Linked DNA regions of Macaca mulatta. The protein of the gene in region 4 purifies or fractionates together with the protein of the main gene of each other region. This does not show direct contact. Links are inferred from orthologs where the notes say so. Each region holds a gene or a part of one and is shown on either strand. Other genes may lie near its edges.

Region 1 (3,516 bases), on a different chromosome or scaffold from region 4:
TGTCTCCATCTGAATGAGAAAGGTGAGTGGGGTAGACAGTAGTACAAATTACAGCTCATATCTGACAGATTTTCACAAAGATTAAACCAAATCTACATAAAGTGTTTAACGTAGTACCTTTCATGTACTAAATGCTTTTTTTTTTTTTTTTTTTTGAGGCAGAGTTTTTTTTTTTTTTTTTTTTTTTGAGACGGAGTCTCGCTCTGCTGCCCAGGCTGGAATGCAGTGGCCGGATCTCAGCTCACTGCAAGCTCCGCCTCCCGGGTTCACGCCATTCTCCTGCCTCAGCCTCCCGAGTAGCTGGGACTACAGGCGCCTGCCACCTCGCCCGGCTAGTTTTTTGTATTTTTTTTTTAGTAGAGACGGGCTTTCACCGTGTCAGCCAGGATGGTCTCGATCTCCTGACCTTGTGATCCGCCCGTCTCGGCCTCCCAAAGTGCTGGGATTACAGGCTTGAGCCACCGCGCCCGGCTGAGGCAGAGTTTTGCTCTGTCACCCAGGCTGGAGGGCAGTGGCACAATCTCAGCTCACTGCATCGTTCATCTCCCAGCTTCAAACAATTCTGCCTCAGCCTCCCCAGTAGCTGGGATTACAGGCTACAGGCGTGTGCCACCATGCCCAGCCTTTTTTTTTTTTTTTTTTAGTAGAGACAGGGTTTCACCATGTTGGCCAGTCTGGTCTCAAACTCCTGACCTTAGCCTCTACTAAATGCTTAATAATTTTTACCTATTATTATCCTCATCAAAGTTCCAACTCCTAGTACAGCGCCTGACACATAATAGGCATAATTCAATGTTTGCTGTACTTTTCATGTGAATCAAGAGCATCATTTCTAAATAATCATTTGAAGAAACCACTTTCTCATTGAATATTGAGTAATTCACACAACTATTATGGAGAACTCACTGTGTGCCAAGCACTGTAGTGGGTTTGGGGAATATAAAAGTAAACAGTATGTGTTCTGCCCTTACCAAAATAATGATTTCGTGGGGGAGATATATACAAGTAAAGCAGCAGTTACTGTAGCTTCATAAGTATAGGGGTTAAGCAAAGAGAACTATCAATGTGCCAGCACATAGCTGGATGTGGTGGTGCGTGACTGTAATCCTAGCACTTTGGGAGGCTGAGGCAGGAGGGTTGCTTGAGACCAGCCTGAGCAACATAGCGAGAGCCCCCCTTTAAAAAAAAAAAAGCCTGTGTTACATAAAACCTCTCTAGTATTGGTTTGTTCTGCTTTTCCCCCTTACCCCACATGTCACCATGTAAATCTCCTTTGAATTCTCACCTTTGGGAGTTTTAGCTGTCTTCTCTTTGCCTGGAAAGCTGAGCTCTCTCCTTGTAATTCAGGTCTCGACTTAAATATGACCTCCTTGAAGAAGCCTCTCTTGGTCCTCCAGTCTCAAGTAGCTATCCAGTTTCTCTCTGCAACATCCACCTGTTTAAATTATCTACATGGCTTGTGATTTTTCAGGATGTATTACTGTTTTATGTTTTCTTATTTAGTTTCTGTCAGTTTCATGAGAGCAAATAATTTGTCTTGCTCTTGATCCTCCTGCTGCCTGCACCCAGCTTTTTTGGTGTTTTAGAAAAGGCTAGGCCAGGCGCGGTGGCTCAAGCCTGTAATCCCAGCACTTTGGGAGGCCGAGACGGGCGGATCACGAGGTCAGGAGATCGAGACCATCCTGGCTAACACAGTGAAACCCCGTCTCTACTAAAAATACAAAAACTTAGCCGGGCGAGGTGGCAGGCGCCTGTAGTCCCAGCTACTTGGGAGGCTGAGGCAGGAGAATGGCGTGAACCCGGGAGGCAGAGCTTGCAGTGAGCTGAGATCCCGCCACTGCACTCCAGCCTGGGTGACAGAGCGAGACTCCGTCTCAAAAAAAAAAAAAATAGAAAAGGCTATAAACTTGGAGTCAGGGGACCTAAATTAAATGTTGGTTCAGGCTGCATTTTTTACTTCCTGTGTGCTCTTAAGAAGTCATACCATCTCTCTGAACCCAGTTTATCTTGATTTTTGGTGCTGTATTATTAAAGCTTGCTGTATTATTAAAGCTTGCTGTATCTTTCGGGATCTCAAGACTTTCCTAGTCCAAGGCTGTGTACACTATGTTACCTTCCTCTTGTCTGTTACTGCATAATTAGTGCCTTGTCCTCCACTAGATGGTGGTGGCTTGACCCTGTGTCATCTTCTTGGATTTTCCCCTCCCTCACCTCACTGTTGTTTCAAGGTTTTGTATAGAGTCTATAGGTGGTGTTGAGTGATAGGAACTCCCCTTGGATTAATTGACTTCTCTGCTTCTTTGTAGGTGGATTGCTCAGGTTATGACCTGGAGCAGTTACACATCAAAGTGACTTCACTGTGCAGTCGCATAGAGCAGATTCAGTGTTACAATGCTAAAGATCGCCTAGCTCAGTCAGGTAAGCCTCTAATCTCCTCACTTTTTCTGCCTTCTTGCTTCCTGTTTTTATCTTACACCCCACCCTCAGTGCCTGCCACCGTTCTCTAGACCCATGCTCAGTGCTTAACTCTAGTTTTTCTCTCTAGACATGGCCAAACGTGTAGCCAACCTGCTGCGGGTGGTGCTGAGTCTGCATCATGCTCCTGATAGAACCTCCGACTCAACACCAGACCCTCAGCGAGTCCCTTTGCGCCTCTTGGCTCCCCACATTGGCCGGCTCCCCATGCCTGAGGACTATGCCATGGACGAACTGCGCAGCCTTACCCAGTCCTATCTGCGAGAACTCGCTGTTGGGAGCCTGTGAGCCCCAGACTCTTTGCATCACACTCACATGCCCGTTCACACTCACCACACAGAGGTTCCCTGCCTTGTTTGGATTGGCACTGTTTGCCATTCTCTGGGTTGGCTATGGCATCTGCCCTCCTTCCCTGCTGCCACAAGCAGCATCCTCCAGTTGTTCAGGGCTTTTCTTAATACTAAACATAGCATAAGGGCTTCTGGAACCCAGAAGAGGAGACAATTCTCTTTTTACCATCCTCAAGACCAGTGTTTTTCCTTTTAATAAATGGTCAATAAAGCTCCTTTGGCAGAATCCCCCAAAGAACCAGGGAATCCTTTTTCACCCCTAGCCATTCTGGATCTTGTGACCCTCCATGCCAACCAGCTACCCTACTCCTACCCTGGCCCTTTTATGCTAGGACTCCTTAGGAGGAGTGAGACAGGTAGTAATGGATCCTTAACAGGTGAACTATCCACAGAAGGAAGAGGGATCCGTCTCTTAAGTAATTGGTTAGTTAACACTGAATTTTGGAGGCAGAGGAGGGTTGGCCTGAGTTAGGAAACAGAATGGGATCTTTCTGACACACTTAGGGCAGAAGTGAATGCCTGCCATGGAGGGATTGATCTTCAGAGCTTCTTTTGTTCCTGCCTTTAGTGTTCCATGAACACCATACCTTTGCTACTACTATGTGCAGGAGCCCTTGGTCATATGTGACATGTCTATGGGAAGCTCCCAGAATTTGGTTTGGTCCCTGGTTTTCAGTCATCTTGCTGAGAG
Region 2 (3,516 bases), on a different chromosome or scaffold from region 4:
GCAGCCTCTACCTCCTGGGCTCAAGTGATCCTCCACCTCAGTCTTCCTGGTAGCTGAGACTACAGGTCACCGTGCCCCCATACCCAGCTAATTTTTTTTTTTTTTTTTGTAGAGATGGGAGTCTCGTTTTGTTGCCTAGGCTGGTCTCACACTTCTGACCTCGAGTGATCCTGCTGCATTTTGGCATTTTTATTTTTGAAATGTTAGCTATTTTAGATTTTCATTGATTTTTGAGATCTTGAAGATGTTGAATCCTGGAAAAAAATTAACAGTAGTTTTCATGAAAAATTTTCTTCATATTTAAAATGTCAAGCTTTTTATCTGTTTTTCTTTGTCCAAAGTGACCAAATTCCTCAGTAGCTTCCTTATTGTGAACCTTGCAGATGCTTGGCCATCACTTTTGTGTCCACAGCATGGATTCAGCTGAATAATAGTTCTGTAGGCTGAGCTAGCATCCAAAGCACAGATGGAGCTGGAGAGTGACATAGCTTGTCCTTGGCTTGATTTTCTAAGTTCCATCAGCTATTGGATAGGATGTGAATCTTTTTCTTTTCCTGATACAGTCTCCCTCCAGTAGCAGGATAAAACTGGAATCTTGACATTTGATTTGTTTTCTTTCTTTCCCTTCCTTCCGTCCGTCCGTCCGTCCGTCCGTCCGTCCGTCCGTCCGTCCATCCATCCATCCTTCCTAGATGGAGTCTCACTCTGTCCAGGCTGGAATGCAGTGGTGCGATCTTGGCTCACTGCCACCTCTGCCTCCCCGGTTAAAGCAATTCTCCTGCCTCAGTCTCCTGAGTAGCTGGGAATGAAGGCCCTCGCCACCACACCCAGCTAATTTTTGTATTTTTAGTAGAGACAGGGTTTTGCTATGTTGGCCAGCCTGGTCTCGAGCTCCTGACCTCGTGATCCGCCTGCCTTGGCCTCCCAGAGTGCTGGGATTATAGGCATGTGCCACCGTGCCCGGCCACAAAACATTTTTTTTAGAGTAGATTGACTTTTGGGGATGATCGTAATAGATGTTAATTTTTTTTTTTTTTTCTGTTTTGTTTCAGAAAAATCAGAGATGGTGCCAAGTTGCCCCTTTATCTATATCATCCGTAAGGATGTAGATGTTTACTCTCAAATCTTGAGAAAACTCTTCAATGAATCCCATGGAATCTTTTTGGGCCTCCAGAGAATTGATGAAGAGTTGACTGGAAAATCCAGAAAATCTCAGTAAGTTGGTTGCTGTTTGGTGTTGAAGCCCACTGTACACTGTGGAAAGCCAAATGAAGTACATTGGTGTCTTTTTGTGTGTTTTAAGGGTTGCGTAAAGAAATAAGAGACTCCTGGTTCTAGTTGAGGCATTAGTACTGGACAATGTACATTAGCAGTGATGGGAAGACTTAGCAGGAATATGCAAATGCTGTTGATTGGCTGGCTTGACAAGCTTTATTTATAGTCCTATTTTACTTACCCTCTAAAGAAGAAAATTTAGGCCACACAAGCATGTGAGAGTCATTGAATGAGGTCACATTGTTGGGAGATTTGAAAATTAATATAACAGTTTTGTCTCTAAAAATTATGGTTGAGACATTATCTGACAACAGACCAGAAAACTCTTGTAGTATTTATAGATTAGGATTTTCGTGAATTGTAGTTCATAACTTCATCATTATCAGAGTAGTACTTGTAAATTGTAGACTTTTGGGACCCACCGCAGATCATCAAAATCAAAATCTCTGGTTGGATCTTAAAATCTCCAGCACACTGGAGTTTAAGAACTCCTGTGTTAGACTTTTGTCAGCATCCCTTCACATGGCTAGGGCATGGGCAGTGTTGGTATATTACTTCTTTGATAAGCTTTTCACAAATGAATCATTCTGGACAAGACCCAGGTCAACTTCTGTGTGAGTGTGTGTGAGAGTGATTATTGGTTTTTTTTCTGTGTTTTTCAAGACAGAGTTTCACATTGTCGCCCAGGCTAGAGTGCAGTGGCGCGATCTCTGCTCACTGCAAGCTCCGCCTCCTGGGTTCAAGCCATTCTCCTGCCTCAGCCTCCTGAGTAGCTGGGGCTATAGGTCCCCGCCACCACGCCTGGCTAATTTTTTGTATTTTCAGTAGAGATGGGGTTTCACCGTGTTAGCCATGATGGTCTCCATATCCTGACCTCGTGATCCACCCGTCTTGGCCTCCCAAAGTGATGGGATTACAGGCTTGAGCCACCGCGCCCGGCCTTTTTTGTTGTTGTTGTTGAGACGAAGTCTTGCTCAGTCACCCAGGCTGGAGTGCGGTGGCGCGATCTCGGCTCACTGCAAGCTCTGCCTCCCGGGTTCACGCCATTCTCCTGCCTCAGCCTCCCGAGCAGCTGGGACTACAGGTGCCCGTCACTACTCCTGGCTAATTTTTTTGTATTTTTAGTAGAGACGGGGTTTTACCATGTTAGCCAGGATGGTCTTGATCTCCTGACCTCGTGATCTGCCCATCTTGGCCTCCCAAAGTGTTGGGATTATAGGCGTGAGCCACCGCGCCTGGCCGTGCCCTGTTTTTTTTGACTCTGTTACCTGGGCTGGAGTGCAGTGGCAATCTCGGCCCACTGCAGCCTCTGCCTCCTGGGTTCAAGCCATTCTCCTGCCTCAGCCTCCCGAATAGCTGGGATTACAGGTGCGTGCCACCACGCCTGGCTAATTTTTGCATTTTTAGTAGAGAGGGTTTCATCATGTTGGCCAGGCCGGTCTTGAACTCCTGACCTCAAGTGATCTGCCCACTTCGGCCTCCCAAAGTGCTGGGATTATAGGCGTGAGCCACTGCACCTGGCCTGATTATTGGTTTTAAGGGACTCTGGTGGGTAATATTGGTGAGTTTGAGAAATCTATTGTCACTTCTAGGAAAAAACATGTCAAAAGTCCTGTAATTCCTTGATGGCAGGGGACCCTGTCTTATTTTTTATTTTTTATTTTTTTTTGAGATGGAGTCTCGCTCTGTCGCCCAGGTTGGAGTGCAATGACATGATCTTGGCTCACTGCAATCTCCGCCTCCCGAGTTCAAGAGATTCTCCTACCTCAGCCTCCCGAGTAGCTGGGATTTTTGTATTTTTAGTAGAGACTAAGTTTCACCAGGTTGGCCAGGCTGGTCTCAAACACCTGACCTCAGGTGGTCTGCCCACTTTCACCTCCCAAAGTGCTGGGATTACAGACCTGAGCCACTGGGCTCGGCCATTAAATAACTTTATGTATCTATTTTTTTGAGACAAGGTCTGACTAGTAGATTTCATCTGCAACAATTAATGTCAGTATGGGTTTATGGATATTAACTTTAGCCCATGGGTTGTTTTGTGGCGTTTTATTTTGTTGCCCAAGTTGTTCCAGCTTCAGAAGGTTACGAGCTCCTTCACAATGGCTCCCCTCTTTCTTTCAGCAAATTTCTACATTTATTTGAGTGTTTTCTTCTTTTCTAGCACTACAAGATGTTCCAGGCTCATCTTGTGTGTTATTTCATTTTTTATAGATTGGTTCGAGTGAGTAAAAACTACCGATC
Region 3 (3,516 bases), on a different chromosome or scaffold from region 4:
TGTTTCAAGTTCAAGTCTGCATTTGAGCTTGCCCCCGTTATTAGAGTTTGCATAGCAATGGAGATAATAGGAAAGAAAAATCAGATCAGCTGCCCTCAAGGACCTCACAAACTGGCTGAAGGAACAAGACACACAGTCACAGATAAAACATGACCCAAACAAAATCCCTCCCTTTTGCAAACCTTGTTCTTCCTTTTGCATTTCTGATGTTAGCCAAAGGCATTCTAACAGCCCAGGCAAGAAATCTTCAGCATATTTAATTTGTAAGATTAAGCATAAGAATATTTTACATTGTTAACATGAAAAACACAATGAAAGCCTATATAATGGACAGGCGCGGTGGCTCATGCCCGCAATCCCAGCACTTTGGAGGTGGGCAGATAACGAGGTCAAGAGATCAAGACCATCCTGGCAAACACGGTGAAACCCTGTCTCCACTAAAAATGCAAAAATTAGCTGGGCGTGGTGGCACACACCTGGAGTCCCAGCTACTTGAGAGGCTGAGGCAGGAGAATTGCTTGAACCAAGGCGGAGGTTGCAGTGAGCAGAGATTGTGCCGCTGCACTCCAGCCTGGTGACAGAACGAGACTATGTCTCCAAAAAAAAAAAAAAAAAAAAAAAAGGAAAGCATAAAAGACAGAAAATAAAAGTGCATAAAATGCCAAAACACTTGTTAAATTATCTTATCATGTATATATTCAGTGATTTCAAATATTGCTCATATGCCGTGTCAACATAGTCTGTTTCTTAAGCAGTAAGCTCTGCTTTTCCAGAGCTCTGGGAGGTACAAGGCCTTCCCAAACTGGAGACAGAGGCAAAGTGGAGAGTGCACCCTCAGGCAGGCTCTGTATTGTTTTACTTTCTATCAGGGCTGCCAAGTCAAAATATTTTTCTATATGGCCCACCAATCAGAGATTGATTTTGGTTAACCAGCTCATCCCAAAACACAAATACTCCTTAGAAAGGTACTTTGTCACCCCCAAGGGAAAGGACAGGTAAAAAGAAAAACTACTATATGTACATAGCTATTATATTCTCTTTTCATGATGATTATGACAGGGGAGAAAACCTTTAGAACTACACCCCAGAGAAGCTGAAGACCAATGAACATCATGAGAAATGAAGATAAATAGTGACGTGAACAGTCCTAAACATTACCATTTTTCATATGGAACATTCTTTTGAGGAGCCAATCACACTTTTAGTTTTGCTGTATCATAGTCCTAAAATACTATTCTATATTATGTATCCAACTGATAATTTCCAGACCCTTCTCTAATAATTCAGCTAACTGAAACATGTACATACACTGCATTGACAATTACACTTTGCCCTTTGATACAAATGCAGAATAATAAACCAGGCTCTTGCTCAGTTCTTACAAGCAGTCTGTCATTAATTTTTAAAAATTCATTGCCTTATCATATAAAACTATGTATGAATAAACACCAAAAAGGACACAAAAAAGACAACAATTTGATTTGTTAGATCATGAAACTTGAGGTGATTTGTTTTTCTTTCAGATTTCTGGCATACTGTCTAGATTAAAAACAAAACATAACAAAGCACTTTTCCTTCCATTCCCTACTAACACAAACGTATAAAAACAAAGAATTCACACTAAACGCATTTATGGAATCAACAGAAGACTGAACTTAGGTTACAGTACATCAAACATTAAGAAAAAGAGACCTGTTGGCATAATGTGTTACATGCTAGAATACAGTTAGGCTATAGGAGGAAGGAAGCAAAATCTGAGACACCAAATAGAGTTTGAAGCTCCTCAAATGCATAAGGAATTCCAAATTTCACTGAGCTGAGGGAAGAGTTGGCACTGTTTCTAAAACTAGATCATTCTGCAGTCTCAGTTAAGACAATAGGTCTAAGCCCTAATGTCACACCTTTAAAGGGAGACAGCGAAGTCTACCCTGCTGCCTCAATAGGCTGTGAAGCTTCACAAAACCGTGAGGACTGTGCCACTATTTCCACAATGTCCAGCTGTCACTGGCTGACCAGCATCTTAACCATTTCTGTCTTTGAAGTTTGTAGCAGACTTTACTTTTTCTCTGAAAATAAATCTGATTTTACAAGTAAGGTGTAGCAACAGGATCCTAGGAGGTAGCTGAGGAGTTCAGTGAAGGGACTGTTTGCAAAGGTGTGGACAAGATTAAGGGGTCCAAAAGGGGATGGGGCAGCACCCTAGGATGAGGCATTATCAACCTCCGGCCTGAAGAGGCAAGAGGAGGGGCAGCTACTGGAAACAAGAGAAAGCAGTTGGACAGGAGGCATGGTCCCTGACAGAGGGGCACAGCCAATGTAAAGTGGGCACAGGCAAGGAAGAAAGCTGGGGGAATAACTACTACAACTTCCGGCCTTCTGGCAGGGCCTCCCATTCATCTGACCTGGCAGAAGTGGGAGGGCAAGGGAGCCCACTCAGGAAGGCTACTTGGCTGTGGCACAGTCAAGGGTAGATCTGCCTGGTCAACAGGGTGAAACAGGGTCTCTACTAAAAATACAAAAATTAGCTGGGTGTGGTGGCACAGGCCTGTAGTCCCAGCTACTTGAGAGGCTGAGGCAGGAGAATTGCTTGAAGCCGGGAGGCACAGGTTGCAGTGAGCCGACATTGCACCATTGCACTCCAGCCTGGCAACAGAGCGAGACTCAGTCTCAAAAAAAAAAAACAGTAGATCGAGAGACAAAGTAAGGAGAAGATCAGGATGGACGCAGTGGCTCACACCTGTAATCCCATTACTTTGGGAGGCTGAAGGGGTGGATCACCTGAGGTCAGAGTTCAATATCAGCCTTGACCAACATGGCGAAACCCCACCTCTACTAAAAATATGAAAATTAGCCAGGCGTGGTGGCTGGCACCTGTAATCCCAGCTACTCAGGAGGCTGAGGTAGGAGAATCGCTGGAACCCGGGAGGTGGAGGTACCTGGGCAACCGAGTGAGACTCTATCTCAAAAAAAAAAAAAAAAAAAAAAAAGGGAAGATCAGCACCCAAAGCAAATAGGTACTTGGAGATAGTTACTAACGGGAAAAAAAGTCAACAGGGAGCACTTCTCAGTCAACTTTGCAAGCTCTTCTTTATAGGTAACTGGTAAATGATACTTCTGAGTGATACTTTAGCCAGAAAATCTGGGGTCCAATTTAACATTTCAGTGAGATCTTTTGTGATTTAACTTGTCCTCACCCTCTTTCCTGCCTAGGGCATGATCACTAAATGGCACAGTTCTACAAAGCCACATGAAAGAGGACTCATCATACCTCCCTGAAAAAGACATCTGCAGGAGTCAGGTTGGATGGGATTTCATACTCCCTCTTGTTCAAAGCAATCAATATGGCCGTGTTGACGAGATCAGAAAGCCGGGAGTGGTGGTTCTTGAGAACAATGGTGGCTGACAGCTTTTCGGCATGCTCACAGAGCAACAATCGAGTGGCCATCGGTGTCCCTCTAACTGGAAAACTGCCTAGACGTCCAAATAAGCCAACCTTGCAAAAAGGCAAACATATAT
Region 4 (3,516 bases):
CTGAAAACAGAACTAATAACAGCATTTGCTTTTAGGGGGTAAAAGAACTTTACCTTTCTTTCTGTATTCTTATAGATTATTTCAATTCTTTTCTTTACCAAGGGATTCTTGTAATTGTTTAAAAATAGTTTAATAAAAAGCAACTATGGTAATATACATGCAATCATGCTTTACATGGCAGTTAAAAAGAAATGAGGTAGAACTAGATATATTAATATATAGAAAAATGCCCACAATGTATCTTTAAGTGAAAAAAGCTAATTGCAAGGAAGGAAAATGTAAGGGTTTCTGGCTGGGTGCAGTGGCTCACGCCTGTAATCCCAGCACTCTTGGAGGCTGAAGTAGGCAGATCACCTGAGGTGACCAGTCTGGCCAACATGGTGAAACATGGTCTCTACTAAAAATGCAAAATTAGGTAGATGTGGTGGCGCATGCCTGTAATTCTAGCTACTTGGGAGGCTAAGGCAGGAGAATTGCTTGAACTCAGGAGGTGGAGGCTGCAGTGAGCCAAGACAGCGCCACTGCACTCCAGCCTGGGCAACTGAGCAACACTGTCTTAATCAACCAATCAATCAATCAATCAAATGTATGGGTTTCAACATCTGTGTGTTTTGTGTCTACCTGTGCTAGTAAATATTTGGGCGTGTTTGCATATGTCTGTTTATGACTTCATTAGTTATTCGTATATGCATAGAAAACATCCAAAAGGTTTACATGAACATATTTACAATGCTGGTTCCCTCTGCTGAGTGAAAACAGGGACAAGTGACATGCCTGGGTGAAAAATGGAGAACATATAATCTATATATCTTGAGAAAAAGCACTTTTGAGAGAATTATCAAATTATTACCTTAAAAATTACTAGTTTATGGGCCAGGCACAGTGGCTCACGCCTGTAATCACAGCACTTTGGGAGGCTGAGGCGGGCAGATCACAAGGTCAGGAGATCAAGACCATCCTGGCTAACAGGGTGAAACCCCTTCTCTACTAAAAATACAAAAAATTAACCGGGCATGGTGGCGAGCACCTGTAGTCCCAGCTGCTCGGGAGGCTGAGGTAGGAGAATGGCAAGAACTCAGGAGGCGGAGCTTGCAGTGAGCCGAGACTGCGCCACTGCACTCCAGCCTGGGGGACAGAGGGAGAAGCTGTCTCACAAAAAAAAAAAAAAAAAAAAAAAATTACTAGTTTATTTTACTAGGATGTTATCAGAGGTTTAACATGTAAACTTACCTTGAAGGGTTCCAAGAAATACAACTACAGCTTAGCTTACATGAGATCTCATGCTGCAAAGACCACTGGCTGAGATTCATAACATCTGGTGCCTCATATATTCTTACTATACCATCTGCCGAACAGGTTGCTAACATAAGACCCATGTGCTTGGGAGCAAACTTCACATCAGTAACAGATGTTCTGCTATCCACCAGAGTTGTCCTTTTAACCTAAAAAAAAAAAAATTAACAATTTAAATTCCATACAAAAAGCAAGCATGGTAGAGTGGGAAAGACACACAGACGCTGGAATCACACAGAAACTCCTCTGTCATTCACTAGGTATACGAGCTTGGGTATGTGTCTGGGCCACAATTTCCTACAAGTACATGGCAAAATACCACATATATAGCTGGGAATCACTAACAAATTAGCTAGCTATAATTAATTACTCCCTTTAATGAAAAAAAAAAATGTCTACCTCCAAAAGCCTACCTTTATTATATAAGTAATCTCTCTTAAGCAGACTGGTCACAAAAAAACAGAAAATGTTAGAATTTTCAGACAAGCAGTTTTGTCATATAAAGCATGCTGCAGGTATTAGATCCTTTAACAGTAAATGAGTTGAGCATGATGGCTCACACCTGTAATCCCAAAACTTTGGGAAACCGAGGCAGGCAGATTGCTTGAGCTCAGGAGTTCAAGACCAGCCTGGACAACATGGCAAGACACCATCTCTACTAAAAATTAAAAAAAAAAAAAAATAGCCAGGTGTGGTGGTGCACGCCTGTGGCCCCAACTATTCGGGAGGCTGACGTGGGTGGACTGCTTGAGCCAGTGGGGCAGATGGTGCAATGAGCCAAGATCGCACCACTGTGCTCCAGACTGGGTAACAGAGCAAGACCCTGTCTCAAAAAACAAACAAACCAACAAAAAAAAAAACACTAAGGAAGGCATGCAATTTCTTCTCTCAAGAGTAATTTTCTGTTAATCCCATTTTGACCACTATTATTCTTTTTTTTTTTTCTTAGGGACGGGGTCTTGCTCTGTCACCCAGGCTGGAATACAGTATCATGATCATGGCTCAAGTGATCCTTTTGCCTCAGCCTTCCCAGTAGCTGGGATGACAGGCACCTGCCATCACGCCCAGCTAGTTTTTCTTATTTTTTTTAGAGATGGGGGTCTCACTATGTTGCACAGATGGGTCTCCAACTCCTGGCCTCAAGCGATCCTCCCACCTCAGCCTCCCGAGTTGCTAGGATTACAGGTGTGAGCCACTGCACGCAGCTACCATGCACTTTTAAGTGAAGGCATTTAACAGAGACCAAAAGAATGGTAGAAAGCAAGCTCTGTGATCACTGTAAAATTCCAACATCACATTTAAAAGTTACCTTCTGGCACACAGATAAGATGAAACCTTACTAAAAACATCAATAAGCCCAGGTGCGGTGGCTCACGCCTGTAATCCCAGCACTTTGGGAGGCTAAGGTGGGTGATCACTTGAGGTCAGGAGCTCAAGACCTGCCTGGCCAGCATGGTGAAACCCCATCTCTACTAAAAATATACAAATTAGCCAGACGTGATGGCAGGAGCCTGCAACCCCAGCTACTAGGGACGCTAAGGCAGTAGAATAGCTTGAATGTGGTAGGCGGAGGCTGCAGTGAGCCGAGATCATGCCACTCACCAGCCTGGGTGACAGAGCGAGACTCTGTTTAAAAAAAAAAAGTCAATAAAGTTTAGAAATCAACAGATTACTGTCTATGGTTACCAAAATGCTTCTTAAAGAGTCTCAATATTGGCCAGGCACGGTGGCTCACGCCTGTAATCCCAGCACTCTGGGATGCCGAGGCGGGCGGATCACGAGGTGAGGAGATCGAGACCATCCTGGCCAACACTGTGAAACCCCGTCTCTACTAAAAAATACAAAACAATTAGGCGGGCGTGGTGGTGAGCTCCGGTGGTCCCAGCTCCTCGGGAGGCTGAGGCAGGAGAATGGCGGGAACCCAGAGGGTGGAGCTTGCAGTGAGCTGAGATCGCGCCACTCACTCCAGCCGGGGCGACACAGCAAGACTCCGTCTCAAAAAACAAGAGTCTCAATATTAAAAGGATGATATTACATACACTTCAAAGATAACACCTTAGCAAACATTTGTCTACAGACCCCACTGAATAATACAAACACAGATGCTGAGAAAATCAACGCACGTGTTACAGTGGGTCGTCAGACAGGAGCGGGGCAGCAGAGGACCCCACCCCACCAGGAACACCAAGCAACCATGCGGTGACGGGCAGGCCGTGGTTAAAC
Region 5 (4,071 bases), on a different chromosome or scaffold from region 4:
AAGAGTTCAAACAAATAATAACTGCAATCATTATTATTAGTGTTTATTGATATTGTAACCAAATACTATACTTATCATGTTACAATAAATGTTAGTTGCTATTATAATTATCATTATTATTAAATGCTTTAAAAGCAAAAAAGTCTTACAAGGCTGTCGAAATGAGCTAGGAGTTCGAGGGATAACCTGGTTTCTTGGTGTAGTATTACCGAAACTTTCATCTTGAGATGCCTGAACTGTACAATGAGTTAAGAAAAGTTTTCCATGTAGAAAAGATTAAAATGAGAATTAACCATCTTTTTACTATACAAATTATGTGAATACATTTTTCAAGAACAAGGTATTTTACGGCTACCATTTTTCAATGCAAAGGGTAAATAACCCATTCCTTCTGCCATTTAAATTCTCAGACGTCAGTCTTAGATAACTACACACTGAACTAAATGTTTTTAGTCAGTTTTCAAATAATAAAAATCTCAGCAGAAGCTAACCACAATATGATAGTCAGCAGTAAGAAATATCTTTATTTTTAAGGAAATATAATCTTATTAAATTTTTGCATTATATTTACCTAATGACAGCTCTGTGGAGTGAAAAAAATTTCTACAGGATTTTATTATAGCTAACATTTAATACTCTTATAAAAAGAAAATTCTATAACACTGATTCCAAACATGTTACAATTTTTATAATGATGCTTAAATCGCAAAGGATACTTAAAACTCTTTTTTGAGCACTCTGTTTCCGTGCAGTCCGTGTCACCTCTGCCTCCCGGATTACAGGGGATGATATATCTCCAAAGCCACTCCTAAAGTAGTATAATCAAGCTTATATAAGTGAAACGAGAATATAGCATTTGTAAAGAATTTTATCATCACAGCTGGAGTAAAGGACCCTGAGTAAGTTAAGATATAGGTCATTCCAGTAGCCAAGTCTTGGATCTTTTGCTGAGAATGCACTCGTGGCTCCAAATCCTGCTTATTCTTCAAAGTCTTACTCAAATGTTACCTGCACAAAGATTTCTCTGACTTTCTAGTACTCACTATGTTATTTTCTCCTAAAGAATTATTTCAACACTTGGAATCTATATTATAACACTGTTTTAGGTAATTGCTTCATAAAAGTGAATCTTATTTCCCTGGTTGGATTGAGAAGTTACCTAATTGCAGGAATTCTCTCTTCAAAGATTTTCTGCAGAATCCAAAATGCTTTAAACCATGGGTACTATTAAAAAACAAACAACAACAACCAGACAACAACCACCACCAGACAACAACAACAACCAGAGCTTGTGAGATACAACCACAACAACAAACAGAGCTTGTGAGATAGAAGAGTAAGTAAAAAAATTCTGGTAAATTGTAGCAAAATGACCCTTCAAGTTATTTCAACCAAAGAGGTCTCCTGTCCCATCACAACACTCTGTCAGTTTCACTCAAAGGTCTAGAAACTAAATTGTGTGGACTAAAAGGCCTGTGTTTAAGACAAGAATCTAATATGCTTTTCCTCCACTTAAAACCTTCAGATATTCCTTCAGCAGGAAAGTATGGGAAACAACCCCATAGAAAAAATTTTAAATGTTTAATAATTAAAATTAAAAAACAAAACAAACAAAAAACCTACAGATAGCTCTCTCTGGTTTATAGAAGTGCAAATTTCCTAAAATGATATTTACAATGTGACCCCAGTTTAGGCGTTCAGTCTTCTATTCAGCCACAAACATCACTCTAAACATATACTGCATGTGACCACTGAGCTACATGTACTTTTGTTTTTCATATACTAGCACCTTTGAATATGTTTCTTTTACAAAGACCTACATTTGCCCCCTTGGGCACCTGGTCAACAACTAATTACTCCTCAAAGAGCCTCAGGTAGGCTGGAGACACACAGAGGCAGGTTGGCAATTTGGTTCTTGTATTTATTAGCTTCCTAACTTTCAGCAAATTCCTTAACCTCTTTTAGTCTCAGTATTATACATGAAAAAGGGATAACAGTACCTATCCTCATAGGATTGCTCTTGTTCTGAAGATTAAATAAACTGATAATATATATTCAAAGCCAACAATGGCAGTCATATAGTAGGTACTCAATGTTTGGAGTACGAATAATGTACTATTATTATGCAAAGACCAGCTAGAAAGTTACCGTCTTTGAGAGGTCTTTCTGATAGAGTGACAGGGAGACTTAATCGCCCCCAAACACTTATCACTTTATACCGCTTGGTTGTCTCCACTACACAACTAATTCCCCGAGGTGAAGGATCTTGAATAACTGATCTTTGTTGCAGGCGGCTAGCACAGTACCCAGATCACAGAGGGAACTCAGTATCTGATGCTAGCACTTGTAATCAGAAAGTCTGAGCTGAGATCCCAGTATCTTCACTGACTGGCTTTGTGATCACAGGCTGGTCACTTAGCATTTCGAACGCCGGGCTACCTACCCCGCCCACCCCAGGAGCGATCAGTGTTGCTGCCCCAAAGCGCCGAATAGATCGCAGAACGTAGTGGGAATGTAGGGGACCATTATGATCCGTACCCCACCCGACGCAGGCCAAGCGGCCTTTCCCCATTTGTAGCCAAATTTCCCGGCATGGGGAAGGAGTCTTAGGGGAAGCACCCGGGACCTCCTTGGCTTCTTCTGGGAGTCTAGTTTCACCTATTTCGTTTCGCCAACAGGCGAGAGGGGCAAGGCTTTGGGTTCAGCTGCCATCATCAGAACTGACCTGTCCATGGCTAAAGCCTTTTCCACACAGAATAAATGTCGACTCCAGTTTAGCTACCGCGTTTTACCCTTCCCGCTCTCCGGAAGCAAGCCCTTCGACCCGGAAGCAGTCTCTCCCTAAAATAGCCCCACAGAAAAGGGGTAGGGGAGAAGAAACGACGTTCCCATCTAGCGCATGGGCGACTTCAGCCTACAGGTGCCGGCCCGGTGGGCGCAGGCGCAAAAGCTTGCCAATGTGTGCCTGGCTGGACCAGACAGGGCCGGGGGCGGGACCTGGTTGCGTTTAGCCCAGACGCCTTGCGGCCGCTTTGCCTGACCAACGTCTGTGGGCGTGGAACAGGCCCTGGGTTCTCCTACTGGGAAAAATGAAGCATGTTGATAGTCTGGAAAGACGTGAAGTCATTTCCTGGTATTCTCTGTCAGAAAGCGCCTGTTCTTGGAATTCAGATGCGTGGGCTCTGCCCCACACCTCGGGAATCTCTTATCTCTCTCCCTACACTCAGTCCTTTGTTCTCTAGCCCCCTGCAGTTTTTGAAACTGTTTTCCATAACTGCTATTTGTTCTTTACTTGGTATTCTTTTCTATTAAGGAGAAACAGTTCACCTGTATTAAAAAGTAGAAAGGCAAGCGTAAAACATGATGGTATTGCCCTCTATTTCAAAGTGCCGTCTAGGCAAAAAGTGGTATATTTTGGTCTTGAGGGAGTCAGTCACATTTTTGTTTCGGTTTTTGTTTTTTCCAGTTTGAAAGTAGCGACTGGCTATTAACTGACCAGATTACAAAAATAACGTTAGATGCTTCAGTTTATCCGTTTAATAAGCCTGTTGATATGGTCTTTTCTGTTGCTGGCATTTGTACTTTTTAGTAATACAGAATAGGTAGTCATTCTCCCTCGTGGAGAAGATAATTTGAAGGATCACAGGAACTTGAAGAGTTTTTCAACAGCATAGATCTCATGAATCAGATTCTCCAGTCAGATGATGCCATATTTATCAAGAAATCTATCAATCAAAGAGTTATCTGTTAAGGTAATTTGTTTATTGGTTTTGCCATAACCAATTTGTAGATCAGTTCATTTATTGATTTCAGGTTCAGGTACTCTATGCGATGTATGGTTCCACAATAGTCAGCGTGTTAACTGAAGCCTTGAGTTTAGCAGAGGTGCCATGGAAGATCTGGGGAAAGTGAAGAGGTTTTGACAGACTTTTGGGATCACACCATTGATACCTTAAGGCAAGTGACAATTTGGATTTCACAGGTATATAGAAATTGCCAGCTTTTCTTGTCATATATTCCTTGTGACAGTGCTGAGCTTTTTTCTTCTTCTTCTTCTTGCTTGCTTTTTTT

What was found.
Region 1: the proteins of SEH1L (region 4) and NUP98 fractionate together in Homo sapiens (co-fractionation; 3 studies listed by BioGRID and IntAct, with this or other methods). This does not show direct contact. The link is inferred for Macaca mulatta from reciprocal best matches to the Homo sapiens genes SEH1L and NUP98.
Region 2: the proteins of SEH1L (region 4) and NUP85 purify together in Homo sapiens (affinity purification with western blotting; 4 studies listed by BioGRID and IntAct, with this or other methods). This does not show direct contact. The link is inferred for Macaca mulatta from reciprocal best matches to the Homo sapiens genes SEH1L and NUP85.
Region 3: the proteins of SEH1L (region 4) and NUP133 purify together in Homo sapiens (affinity purification with mass spectrometry; 4 studies listed by BioGRID and IntAct, with this or other methods). This does not show direct contact. The link is inferred for Macaca mulatta from reciprocal best matches to the Homo sapiens genes SEH1L and NUP133.
Region 5: the proteins of SEH1L (region 4) and NUP107 purify together in Homo sapiens (affinity purification with mass spectrometry; 5 studies listed by BioGRID and IntAct, with this or other methods). This does not show direct contact. The link is inferred for Macaca mulatta from reciprocal best matches to the Homo sapiens genes SEH1L and NUP107.

Annotation. Positions count from the first base shown.
Region 1 is NC_133419.1:72,131,699-72,135,214, forward strand, and holds part of NUP98 (nuclear pore complex protein Nup98-Nup96), read left to right. Parts: intron 1-462; exon of another isoform or gene 463-1,617; intron 1,618-1,751; exon of another isoform or gene 1,752-1,897; intron 1,898-2,306; coding exon 2,307-2,418; intron 2,419-2,545; coding exon 2,546-2,763; 3' UTR 2,764-3,516. UniProt on the Homo sapiens protein: Plays a role in the nuclear pore complex (NPC) assembly and/or maintenance. NUP98 and NUP96 are involved in the bidirectional transport across the NPC. May anchor NUP153 and TPR to the NPC.
Region 2 is NC_133421.1:84,898,469-84,901,984, forward strand, and holds part of NUP85 (nuclear pore complex protein Nup85), read left to right. Parts: intron 1-1,052; coding exon 1,053-1,215; intron 1,216-3,486; coding exon 3,487-3,516. UniProt on the Homo sapiens protein: Essential component of the nuclear pore complex (NPC) that seems to be required for NPC assembly and maintenance. As part of the NPC Nup107-160 subcomplex plays a role in RNA export and in tethering NUP96/Nup98 and NUP153 to the nucleus.
Region 3 is NC_133406.1:19,576,368-19,579,883, reverse strand, and holds part of NUP133 (nuclear pore complex protein Nup133), read right to left. Parts: intron 3,494-3,516; coding exon 3,269-3,493; intron 1-3,268. UniProt on the Homo sapiens protein: Involved in poly(A)+ RNA transport. Involved in nephrogenesis.
Region 4 is NC_133423.1:83,627,716-83,631,231, reverse strand, and holds part of SEH1L (nucleoporin SEH1), read right to left. Parts: intron 1,443-3,516; coding exon 1,231-1,442; intron 1-1,230. UniProt on the Homo sapiens protein: Component of the Nup107-160 subcomplex of the nuclear pore complex (NPC). The Nup107-160 subcomplex is required for the assembly of a functional NPC.
Region 5 is NC_133416.1:75,809,354-75,813,424, reverse strand, and holds the start of NUP107 (nuclear pore complex protein Nup107), read right to left. Parts: upstream 2,815-4,071; 5' UTR 2,734-2,814; coding exon 2,726-2,733; intron 809-2,725; coding exon 717-808; intron 237-716; coding exon 150-236; intron 1-149. UniProt on the Homo sapiens protein: Plays a role in the nuclear pore complex (NPC) assembly and/or maintenance. Required for the assembly of peripheral proteins into the NPC. May anchor NUP62 to the NPC. Involved in nephrogenesis.